2 linked regions of the Cricetulus griseus genome follow. The protein of the gene in region 2 interacts with the protein of the main gene of each other region in a biochemical or structural test. Links are inferred from orthologs where the notes say so. Each region holds a gene or a part of one and is shown on either strand. Other genes may lie near its edges.

Region 1 (6,243 bases), on a different chromosome or scaffold from region 2:
TTCATAGTTTTCCAGACTAGGGAGTTAAGACCAAAACACTTTCAGATTTGATGTCTGGTGAGGACCTGCTTGACTTTTTAGAGATGACACTTTCTGTGCCCTTGCGTGGTAAAAGGGGCAAGTAGTGACCCTAGGGCCTCTTTTTATTAGAGCTCTGACTTCCATCAGGACAGTCAATAACCTTCCAAAAGTCCCACCTTTTAATACTACCACATTGGTGGCTGTGTTTCAGCATGTGGATTTGGGGGAGACACAGGCATTCAAACAGTAGTGGTGTCCTAAGCAAATGCTCACAGACAACAGCAAGTAAAAAACTAGAAGTAGAAATACAGTAGACAAAACTGTCCACACAGTGTGCCCTGACTAATAAAATATCTATGGGCAATAAGGAAGAAAAGGTGTGGAGATGTATTGATAAAAGGAAGAGCCTGGGAAGGGTCAGGTATTAATGGCAGAAATCAGCAGAGGGTTGTTGAAGTAAAACAGGGATTAACTCAATGTAACCAGAGAAGCTGGGCATTTCTGTGGTCTTGCCTGGCTAGGACAGTCATTTATGCTTAAATGGTATATGCAGATAATTTGGGGGTTCTTCTTAGAGCAAAAGAAACCTGGAGTACTAGCCAGTAAGTCCATGGAATTAATTCAATTAATTAGTTAAAATTAACATTTTTGACCTATCTTAATCCTTTTTACCCACAGACCAAAACAAACACCTCAACTGTTTTCTTGGGTGCAATGCCAGTTACAGGCAGAAATGTATCCATTATTCTTCTCAGAAATGCGAGTTCTGCTTTAGCGGTTCAAATTCTTTCACACAATATCCCCTCTAGGAACACTTTTATTGGTATTTGGTTGGTGGAATTGTTTTCAGCAGCACTGGGTCATTCATCTTGCCTCCAAATAAAAGGTTGATTGAAGCAAACTTTTGAGTTTTAGAAACATATATCAACAAAGAACATTTGCAACTGTTAGCGGCACTGACTGAAGTATTTTCCCCCCAGAGTGTCAGGAGTGTTTTTGAGAAAACAGGAAGAAGCCACATTTATCTTTCAGTCGTTAGGAAAAAAAAAATGTGACCCTTAAGATGTTATTCTTCTCCAAATAAACAAAATAGTGACTTTGTAAAGGGACAAGGTCAGAGAATTTGGGGAAAATATCAGACACTCTTACTAGCCTTGAACCAGGAGGTCTGGGCCCCTCCTGGCAGGCAGCCTTAGCGCATTAGTGGGTATTTGCTGGGACATGATGACCGTATTGTGCCTCCAGTGTGGTACATGCCTTCTACTCCCTTGTCCCAGTCCTTTATTTATTTATTTTTTTCTTTCCTGTTCTGACTTCCTTGCACAGATGTCTGAAACCTGAGGGCGTTTTCCTTTTAGGGCAGGTGTGAATTTTAATGTCTTTGCCAAAGCTGTGTTTACCTTTTAAATATGAGATTTAAAGCAATCGTGTGTTACTGTAGTGCACCATACTATGTGTTTATGAGTGTGCCTTCTAGATGAACATTGCCGCCTTTCTTTCCCCTCCTGACCTTGTTTAGCTCTTCAAGTTTAAATCTCTTCATTCTCTGTAACTCACCTCTGTCCCTGACCTCCAGAGACATTTGTGAATGTCACTCCTACGCTCCGCACTTCCCTTTTTGGTAGCTCCTGTCATAATTCTAGTTGTGCATTTGACTGTCTGTCCTTTGCTCGTGTGTGTCCTGCTCGTTTTCCCGGTGCCCATTGAATACGTGATGAAGAATAGAGGCATTTGTGTGTGTCATTGTTTATGGCAGGTGGCTGGCATCTTTTCCTATGAGGACTTGAGTGTCACATGGTATTGCTCACTCTCTAGCTGAAGGCAACTGTTGGGCAGACCCCATGAGTGCCTCATCCTCCTTATTGACACTGGATATTGCAGTTGCAGAGACCCCAAGGCATCTCGATCTGGCAGCTTTTTAAAGAAATTGAGTGCCAAATGTCAAATCCAGGAGCTTGCATATACACCAGGCAAGCTCCAGTCCCCACAAAGAGCTCTTGTTAGCAAATCTGTTATCTACTTAATGGGAAAACCTACTAGCAGAATGGTGACTAGAGAGAGGTGGGGCATTGCAGGACAGCTTGAGATCTCTTTCCTATCTGGCATCTTCGAGACGGCTTGCCCAGGCCCCTTGGGTTCTCACCGTGAGAAGCTCCACCTTCTCAATCAAAGAGTGAAGTAGTTTCTCTAATTTCTTTCCTTAGTGTTTTCATATCAGGATTTTGCTGGAGGCTGAACGCAATATCAAAAACACAAGCCTGCATGTAGCCCTTCCTTCTGACTTCTTGTTTTCTTGGCTCTATATTTCACCTAGAAAGCTTGTGGGTGTATCTGTAGAGTGCATTCTAAATAAACAATGAGATCAATGGCAGAGGTCATCATTGTGTCTTTTTACTTCTCCAAGAAGATGCTGATTGCAGGTAAAGAAACAAACACTTCACTCCTGAAGTATCTAAGGAAAGGCTTTCTCATAATTAATCGGAAGGAAAACTAAAACAGGACAAGTTTTAAGAAAAGAATCAACTCATCCTTAGCAGCCTCGACAGGGCCGTAATTATAACCCATTGGTACATTTCCGCATATGGAGTAGGCAGGTATTTTACTTACAAGAACTTAGTAAGGACCAATATCAACTTTACCTCAGTAAAACTGGGTGGAGGAAGAATTTAGTAGGTAAATTCAATGATTTCGTGTGTGCGTGTGTGTGTGTGTGTGTGTGTGTGTGTGTGTGTGTGTGTGTGTATGTGTGTGTGTGTGTGTGTGTGTGTGCACAAGTTCATATCCATGTGTGTTCTACAAGAAGAAAGTGAACAGTTTGACTTACCACATCACATAAGATTTCTTTATCATCACCATCATCATCATCATATACTACAGGAGACTGAACCCAGGCCTGAGCAAGGTAGGTAATACCCTATCACTGAGTAATATCTCCAGTGCCTTTTGTATTTTTATTTTGAGAAAGTGCATCACTGAATTGCTAAGGCTGGCCTTCCACTTTCCATCCTCCTGCCCCAGCTTCCTGAGTAGCTAGGATCATGGGCTTGTGCCATAGGACCCAAACATAGCATCATCTTTGCTGCCCACTTCCTGTACCTGCCCATTGGAACCCTACCCTGTTAAGGACTATGTGAAAGCCAGTCAGGTCCTCTACCACTGAATGAATCCAGGGTGGGGAATGGAAAGTAAAGGGTCTCTAAACCGTGAGTATCTCAGGGTTTACACTGATTTTTATTGTACTATTTTTTTCTATTCTGAAACATACAACTTAGAAATAGACACACATCTAGAAATACAAATAAGATGGTAAGAATAGCTGCCGTTCCACCACCTGGTAGTGACCTCTGCTGAAGTTCTGATGCTCATCACAGTGCCCAACCGGAGTGTGGCAGTGACTCTAAAATGAATGCACCGAGCCCTATATTTTAACTTTCTAGTTAGTTTGTGTGTGTGTGTGTGTGTGTGTGTGTGTGTGTGTGTGTGTGTGTGTAACTTTCAGGACTTGATTTTCTCCTTCCACCATAAGGGACACAGGAATTGCACTCCTGTGTTCAGTCTTGGAAGCTAGCGTTTTTTACCCATCTTGCTAAATAATCAGATTTAGCGCATTCAGATTACATGGTTTACAGCTTTTACTAATTGAATTTTTGTGGAAAGTTTAGGTTTACATGAATATTAAACAGGTGATGCCAAGTTCCCTTAACCCTTCTCTTTCCTCCACTTTCTCTTAATTAGAACATTTTACGTCTGTGTGGTGTTGCATTAGTCAGGGTCCTCTGGAGGAACTGAACTGATAGAATGGATCTATTTACATGAAACGGAATTAATTTACTAGAATGGTTTACACGCTGTGGTCTGGTTGGTCCAACAGTGCACTTTGCCAACAGAAGGGCCAAGAATCCAGTAGTTTTTCAGTCCATGAAACTAGACATCTCAGCTGGTCTCTGGTCTGTGTTGAAATACTGAAGACGGGGGTTCTAATAACAGCAAAGGAACCTCTCAGCTGCCACATAGCTGAACTTGATGGTGGGAGAGAGGGCAAGCAGGCAAAATGAAAAGCTTCCTCCTTCCGTGGCCTCTTATGTGGGCGGCTACCGGCACGTGTGGCCCAGATTTAGGGTGGGTCTTCTGACCTCAAATGAGCCTGATTTAGGGTGGGTCTTCTGACCTCAAATGATGAGATGAAGACAATCCCTCACAGGCATGCCCGACTGCTTGGGTTTTAGTTGATTCCAGATGTAGTCAAGCTGACAGCCAAGATTAGCCATGACAGGTGCTTTGGTTATGTCTAACGTACCAGCATCATCACATACCTAAAACCCACAGTTCATTCAGTTTTCCTGATTTTACTTAATGCCCTTTTTCCATCTCAGGATCCTATCCAGGATACAGTCAGGTCTTCTTGGGTGCCTCACAGCTGTGACTGTCTCCCACACTCCCTTTGTTTTTAATGAGTGTAACCTTTTGAGGAGTGCTGGTCAGGTAAATGTCAGAATGACCCTGTATTAGAATGTGTCTAGCATTCTTCTCAGGTTTAGACTGGGTTACAGGCTTAAGGGAGGAAGATCACAAAAGTATCATTTTCACCACATTGCATCAAGGGTCCACACTGTCGGTGTGATTTATGATGGTTGATGTTGAACCATGAACACCTGGCTGGTGTCAAGTTTCTCCTCTGTGGAGTTGCTCTATTTCCCCTTTCCTTTCTGCAGTCTTTTGGAAGAAAGTGGCTGTGTACAGCCCATACCCAAGGATTGGGAGGTATGTTTCCTTTATCTTGGAGTAAAATATCTACATAAATTATTTTGAATTCTACACTATAGATCTGTCTTTTACTTCCCATTTGTTAATTTACTTAATTACTTATATTACTTATGAACTTAAGAGTATTTATTTATAATTTGGGTTATAATTCAAGATTATTTTGTTGTTGTTCAGATGTTTTTTTTTTTTTTGTCAAGGTCTTACCTTGTATCCTTGTCTGACTTGAGTTCTATCTCTAGTATAAGTGTGAGCATGCACTACACACACAAACACATAGACAGACACACCCACAGAGACACACACACACACACACACACACACACACACACACACACACACAGATGTGGACCCAGACACACACACAAACACACACGGACACACACACAGACTTGCACAGGCAGACACAGACACCCTCCCACCCCCCACCCCGCCACACACACAGCACCATGGATGGTCATTTTACTGACTCCTCATTTCCGAGTCTACTTATGTCAACACCTTTCCTTCCAGTGAAGCTATTCCATCCATCTGTAGGATGGTTATGTCATGACAGTCTACATTTGAGATCTTCCAACCTAATTGAGAAATGCCTCTATAAAATCCAGCTGTGGGTCATTTTCTTTCTTCTGTTTTTGTTGTTTGTTTTTGTTTTTGTTTTTTCGAGACAGGGTTTCCCTGTAGCATTGGAGCCTGTCCTGGAACTTGCTTTGTAGACCAGGCTGGCCTCGAACTAACAGAGATCCATCTGCCTCTGCCTCCCTAGTGCTGGGATTAAAGGCATGCACCACAACCGCCCGGCTACAGACAGGTGATTAATCAGCTTTGGGATCACACGTATTGTGTTACAAGCGTTGCTGTACCCAGGTTTTACTTGGGTAGCAGAATTTGAAATCAGGTCCTTGTGTTTGAACAGAAAGCATTTTACCTACCTAGCCATCACTCCAGTCTCTCTTTTAAATTTTTAATCAAGACTTAATAGAGCTAGAGATATGGGAACAACAGAACACTTGCCTAGAACACACAAGTTCCCAGGTTCATCAGCACTGACAAGAGGGAGAGAGCAATGGGACATATTGTTCTATAAAAAGGTCAGTTGGCTTCAAGTACTTGGAAGCTCAGTTACTGGGTTCATATTCTTTTGTAATTGTTATGTCTCCCAGTGATGTGGCCCTTTTGTCATTTTGAAATAACCTTCTTTATCTCTGGTATTTTCCCCTGCCTTGAAGAATACTTTGCCTGACATCACTGCGGCAGTTCTGACTTCCCTAGTCTTTCTGTCTGTCTTGCTGATTGTTTCCCATTCTTTTACTTCCAGCCTTCCTGTGTTTTAATATTAAAGTGTATTTCTTGTAGACAACATATAATTCAGTCTACAGGTTTTAGTATAATATCTTTATTCATTCCTTGAGAATCTCATGCATTCATGCAATGTATTTTGATCATATTCACTGCCTTCCT
Region 2 (6,094 bases):
CACAGAGTCCAATTAGTGCTGTCCAAATGCACATTGGTGTTGTGTCATCAATTGGAGCATGGGGAATATACCAGTGGCTGTATTTCTTTTTTTTTTTTCATTATTCTTTTTTTTTATTAAATTATTAATATTTTCACATGTACTTTCCCTCTCCCTCTCCCTCCCCCCCCCATTCCTTCTCCCCCACCTCCAACCTACCCCCCACCCCATCCACCCGCCACTCCCCAGGCAGGGTAGGGCCCCCAACCAGGGCTCCACCAAGTCCACCAAATCTTCCTGTGCTGGGCCTAGGCCCCTCCCCATGTGTTCAGAGACAGAGCGAATCCCTTCAAGTGGGATGGGCTCTCGAAGTCCCTCCCACCCACCAGGACAAAACGCCAGTCCACCTCCAGAGGCCAGTGGCTGTATTTCTAAAGAAAGAGGATTCTTCCTTATGCAACAACGGTCAACTAACTGCCAATAGCTTCTCAACTGGGGCATGGGGCTTCATGAACTCCTCCTTCTACCTGCTGGAATTTTAACTGGTTGGATATCATGCAGGTCCTATGTAGATAATCACAGCTACTGCAATTTCAAGGGCATCATTTCACATCACTCTTCCCTCTCTCTGGATCTTTCTGTCCCCTCTCCTATGATGGTCCTGAAAGACCCCCGGAGGCTCAGGCCCCCAGGATCTTCGTCCAGAACTGCAACGACCCCAATCACCAGGTGGAGGCGGAAACTTGATGCAAACAGCACAAGGCTTCATTGCAGTTGTTTAACGAGCTAACTCCATGTTAGCACGGGACTTTCATCCATCCACCATGGTTGATGGCTAGGAAAAACAGCAAGAAGCCACTGCATAAAGATCTTATAGGGCAGCATAAGGGAAGTGTCTAGGGGTATGCACAGGCTCAGGATTGGTGTGCCTCCAGGCTTGCCCTGTGTTGATTGGTCAACTGGTTGTTATGGCCCATAGGCCCTCCCAGGGTGATTGCTATGCTCTGCATGTCATTGCTGTGCACTTGTCTGTAAAGCACATCCAGAGCCGTAAAGCATAGCACCACCAGCTAACTTCTGATTGGTTCCTGGTCACACACAAGGCAGGCATCTGACCTCCTAGTGACCAAGGCAAGGTCAGGCAAGCCTGTTATGGCTGCCAAAATGGGTAGCTAGTCCCTTCATTCCCTGAGCCTTAGAGGAGGGTTTATATTGATGCTCCGTCTGTGGTTGAGCATTCACAGTAGCTTATTCTCACCACTTTGCACAGTAACACATCTTGGCATTAACCACTGCCCAACTGCAATAAGTCTATTCTCTGGCCAAGATTGGGAGCAGCACATAGCTATGACTATAACATAAATATTTAGATGGCCATAGCATAACATGACCATTTAGAAAAAAACACATCAATACTAGGTGTATTACTTCTTTAGTCATGGCTTTTGACCATGATTATAGTACAGTCATGAATTCCCTTCAGAGGAGTAGGCCTCAAGACCTATCAAGGGAATGGTTGGTTACCCCCACAGACAATCTTTTATTACTATTACACCAATGAGCATGTCTTGCCTGGAGGATTGGTATTAAAACATGTAGGGGCCAGCACTCCATGAGATCATTGATATATTTTCTTCTCAGCAGCCTACCTAGCAAGCACCTTTCAGAAGTGTGAAAGCTGACCAACAGGGAGAGTTTCCTGGACAGTTTAATTTTTATATCTCTGGGTCCTGAAACAAGAGTGGTGTCTTCAGCAATAGGATCTTACCATCTAGTTGAGGTGGGCAGCCAAGAGCCATGGTAATAGCCTGTACTGTTCTTGGGCCTCTCTGAACAATAACTCATAGGGAGGTAACTCATAAAGTCCAATGACTACTATTCTTAAGACACAGACAAATGAAGAACCATACCAATGACAATGTCTAATGAAACCAAGACAAAGATATTACCATGTGATGTAGCAAGTACTCTAATGGGGGAAAAAGAGTCTTGAGTATGTGGGTGAAATATGAGCTGAGCTTAAATACAGATGTCAGGCAACCCATGTGAAGACCAGAATGAGGCAGGTATGGACATAAGGAAAGAGGGATATCATGTGTGACTATAGATGTGTTCCAAATTAGTGAAAGAAAGCCTCACTTGTCTTTGAGGGCTTGGAATACAGTTCAGTGCTAAAGTGCTTGCCTAGCATGAGTAAAGCCATAAGGTCAATAAAAAGGGGGGAGGAAGGAGTTGGGTTACTTTTATCCTGAGGGTTGGAATGCCAATGAAATGCTTTAAGCATTTATCACAGGAATATATGATTCATTTATCACAGGAATATCTTGATGACAGTCCTATGGGGAAGGATCCCATTTGAAGAACAGTTCTATAAGAAGTTAAGGCATTGTCAGACAGGAAGTGAGAGGGGCAGTGGGGGAGGGGAGTGGTAAATTCCAAAGATCTTTGGGAGGGGCTGGGCCAAGCTGATGGGAGGTGAGAATGTGAGTCAGAGAAAGGAGGCTAATGCAGATTGCCTATGTCACATGTCGTAAGAGAATGGTGACTGTTGGGACACTGAGAGAAAAACCTATCCAGACATGTTCACCTGATGAGAAAGTCAGGAATAAGAGCCTCAGCAGGGAAAGGGAGACATGAGGACCCATGAAGGACAAGAGGCTAACAGGGAACACGGTGAGCTGTGGGGGTGGAGAGGGGGCCAAACCAGACAGGGCCTCTAGGTGCATACTGCCAGGTATGGGAACTTGCTAACCAAATCAAAAGGGTGGAGCCAGCAGGAAGGGAAGGGAGCATTGTGGTGTTATTGAAAGCCATCCCTGTGACCACTGTGACCTTCAGGATCCCTTACCCCACTCAAAAAAAAAAAAAAAAAAAAAAAAAAAAAAAAACTGGTCAAAACAATTCATCAAGAATGAAGAAAAATTGTTTCGCTTCTTGAATCTTCTATTTTAAACATTTTATCTTTTGTATTTCCTCATATTTCCAACCAAATGCTATAGTTATAAAGCAGTGCATGCTTTGTTGTGAAAAGATAAATTCTAGATAAAACAAATTAAAGTTCAAGGGGGGGGATCATAAGTCAGATATTAATCCTCCCATGTAGCCCCCCTCTCATTCTCTTTCAGATTCATAGGTGTTCTTTTTTTCCATTGTTGCTACTTATCTATATTTCTAAATACATAAATACAATCTGCTCAGTCTGCATAATACTACTTATATGTATATATCTCAGGGTTGACCATTTGGTATTGGATAATCAATTTGTGTTTTCCCTGGGAAAGACTTTCTCCTGCTCTCAGCATTCCATAGTGACTTGTCGTTCTTTGTGTAGGGTGAGGTCTCATGAACTTTTTTCTGTCCATGTTGTTTTTTTCTTTAAAGATTTTATATATATATATATATATATATATATATATATATATATAATATATGTGTGTGTATTAATTTATATAATTAATATATATATAATTTCACCTACCTGTGTTAGGACACCATGTGCAGTACCCATAGAAGCCAGAAGAGGGCAACAAGAGCCTCTGGAATGGAGCAACCATAGGCAAATTATGAACTACAATGTAGGCACTGAGAACTAAACCCAGGTCCTCAGGAAGAATAACCAATGCTCTTAACCACTGAGCCCTCTCTCCACCCCCCTCCCGATCTCTCAGTTTTAAGTCTTGTTCTCTGATGCAAATGTATTTCCAAGATCTTTAAAAGCTTTAAACTCCAAAGCTGCCCAGAAAGTTTCCCAGCTTTCTGGAGAAGCAAAATAAAGAACAGATGATAAAAATAATGCTGAAGTTAGAAGAAAAGGCAGAAGATGTTAGAGGAGAGCTACTGGTTTTTTGTTTGGGGTTTTGTTTTCACACATTACATAGGAGCCAATCGTGCATGGTGTGAGTTATGATGTTTCTCTTTATGCAGAAGTTTTGAGGTAAGGAAGAGGAAATGACCACAAAAGTCAAAGAAAATCAGCAGAACCCATGTCTGCTCTCCACTTCCACATAACCCACTTTCATCTTCATTACCAGTGAGTCTGGGCATCTTATAGCCAAACACAGCAGAGAGTAAGCACAGTGGAGGAATATGTTTCTTTGACAAACTATGATCTGAACACACTTGGCTCACAAGCCAAGCACGTAGACGTCGTGAGCTTTCACTGAGACATTCATTTGAACATCATCTGCTACACATTAATCTTGGCGGTGGAAGGGTGTGGCTCGGGCTGCCATACACTCGTCTTTTCAGAGCATTAGAGGGGAACGCAGTGCTATCAAACTACACTCAGATCCCTGGGACAGAGGAACCCATTGATCTTGGGCCAGGTGATTGCATTCTCAAATACATCAGTAAAGGCTTTCAATGCACACACAGTGGAACTAGTGTGGTCACCAGCACCATATCACCACACTTGAAATATGACTCCCTTGGCCATTGGTTTCCAGGTTGGTTAACCTATTTCAAGACTCAGGATATCAACTAAATTTTTTAATTGAGTAGAAATGTTATCATTTCTAAAAATTAAACAGCAATAATTTGCATGAAATAGCAATAATAAGTTCTACTTCTAATGTGGAAACAGAGAAACAAGCATATGGACAGGTAACAGGAGTGAACAGTAATCACTTTCCTGGTCAGATGGAATGGGCACAAGTTAGAGGTGAAATTTAGCTGGGCAATAAAGAGGGATACTGATATCCTAAACAGGCATTTGATCCTGGGAGTGATAATGCTGGGAGTAAAAAGGTTCCCCCACTTCCACTACACACCCTCCCAACTTACTATCTCTTCTATACCAACTTGTGGTCTATAATACAGCAGCACAGGATCATCATGGCTCAAGTTTCCTACCCCAGAGATACAGACAGTCATCACTTGCTTAAAACCACTCCTGTGGGAGTGGGAACCCTGAACATTTAGTAACATGTTCAGAAGTACTTAGGTGTCACCTTGGATTGGGTGGCAGATGGGAGGTCTGATGTTGACTTGAGAAAACTTTGAGTGATTTTATTTTTATCTAATTGCTCACATTTCCCTGTGGCTTATCAAAGATTTCACTGGGAAGTAACCACAAAAATAATGAAAACCGTATATAGTATATCAGTATCTTTCTAAAATTATTTTGTGTATGGTGTGTGTTTGACATGTATGTATGTCACAGGTGAGCACATTCCCTGGCATGCGTGAGGACACCTCTGGTGTTGGGTGTCACCTTTCATCTTGCTTGAAATGTGGTCTCTTTTCCATTCAGCACTGGGTACACCAGGCTTGCAGGACTACAAGCTTCCTAGCTTGCCATAGGAATGTTAGGATTGCAGATACGTGCCTTCACACCTGGCTTCACACACACACACTCAGAATCTCTGAGTTCTGAGGATTTCAATTCAACTTCTCATGATTGTATGGCAAATGCTTGACCCACCAAGGGTTTTCCCAGCCCACCAGTTTCCTTTTAAGACTTAATACAAGTAATCCTTTTCAACTCTACTTTCAGATATGACTATCTCAAGAAGGATTATAGGTAACAAAAACCATGCTCTTTGTGGTGTGTCGTCTTTCTTGATGGAGGAAGAAATGCTAGGGCTACGTGTTATCCTGAAAGACTCACCATGGAGATATTCTCCCTTTTCCTTATTGACTATGCAAACAAAAACCATTCTCAGACTGCGACAACCCAGGAGGTGTTAAAACACCACCCTGATTGGATGTATTGTGAAGGTAAAGATCCCCAATGGAGTCTATAGAGGGGCATCAGTCCTATGAGTGTAGCTCTCAGTTTCCTTAGAAAGAACAAGAAGAGGATCCTCTTTGACAACTGAGGGGGAGCACAGAGGGAAGGGCTAATTTTAACTTTTTTGTTTGTTCATTTTACAGTTCTTTTCAAACTGTAAGAGTTTCTTGTTTTGAGAGATGTTGGAAATAGGCCGCTGGCCAGAGAGGGTTATTGGGCTGTAGTTCACTAACTCATTAGGGGCAGATCTTCCTGGGAGGACAGTGGGCATCTCTAGCATGACCTCTACAAGGTCATAAGCCATGAAGAGAAACAGCCACTCTTGTTCATTTTGCAGGGTTCCGGATAGTACTTGATTTCACATTTGTTTTTAACATTACAAAT

What was found. The genes of interacting proteins can lie anywhere in the genome.
Region 1: the proteins of Fyb1 (region 2) and Skap1 form a complex in vitro, tested with the Homo sapiens proteins (2 studies listed by BioGRID and IntAct, with this or other methods). The link is inferred for Cricetulus griseus from reciprocal best matches to the Homo sapiens genes FYB1 and SKAP1.

What each region holds. Positions count from the first base shown.
Region 1 is NC_048600.1:109,633,954-109,640,196, forward strand, and holds the start of Skap1 (src kinase-associated phosphoprotein 1), read left to right. Parts: upstream 1-2,386; coding exon 2,387-2,441; intron 2,442-6,243. UniProt on the Homo sapiens protein: Positively regulates T-cell receptor signaling by enhancing the MAP kinase pathway. Required for optimal conjugation between T-cells and antigen-presenting cells by promoting the clustering of integrin ITGAL on the surface of T-cells.
Region 2 is NC_048595.1:340,307,247-340,313,340, forward strand, and holds the start of Fyb1 (FYN-binding protein 1), read left to right. Parts: upstream 1-2,512; 5' UTR 2,513-2,622; coding exon 2,623-2,652; intron 2,653-6,094. UniProt on the Homo sapiens protein: Acts as an adapter protein of the FYN and LCP2 signaling cascades in T-cells. May play a role in linking T-cell signaling to remodeling of the actin cytoskeleton. Modulates the expression of IL2. Involved in platelet activation.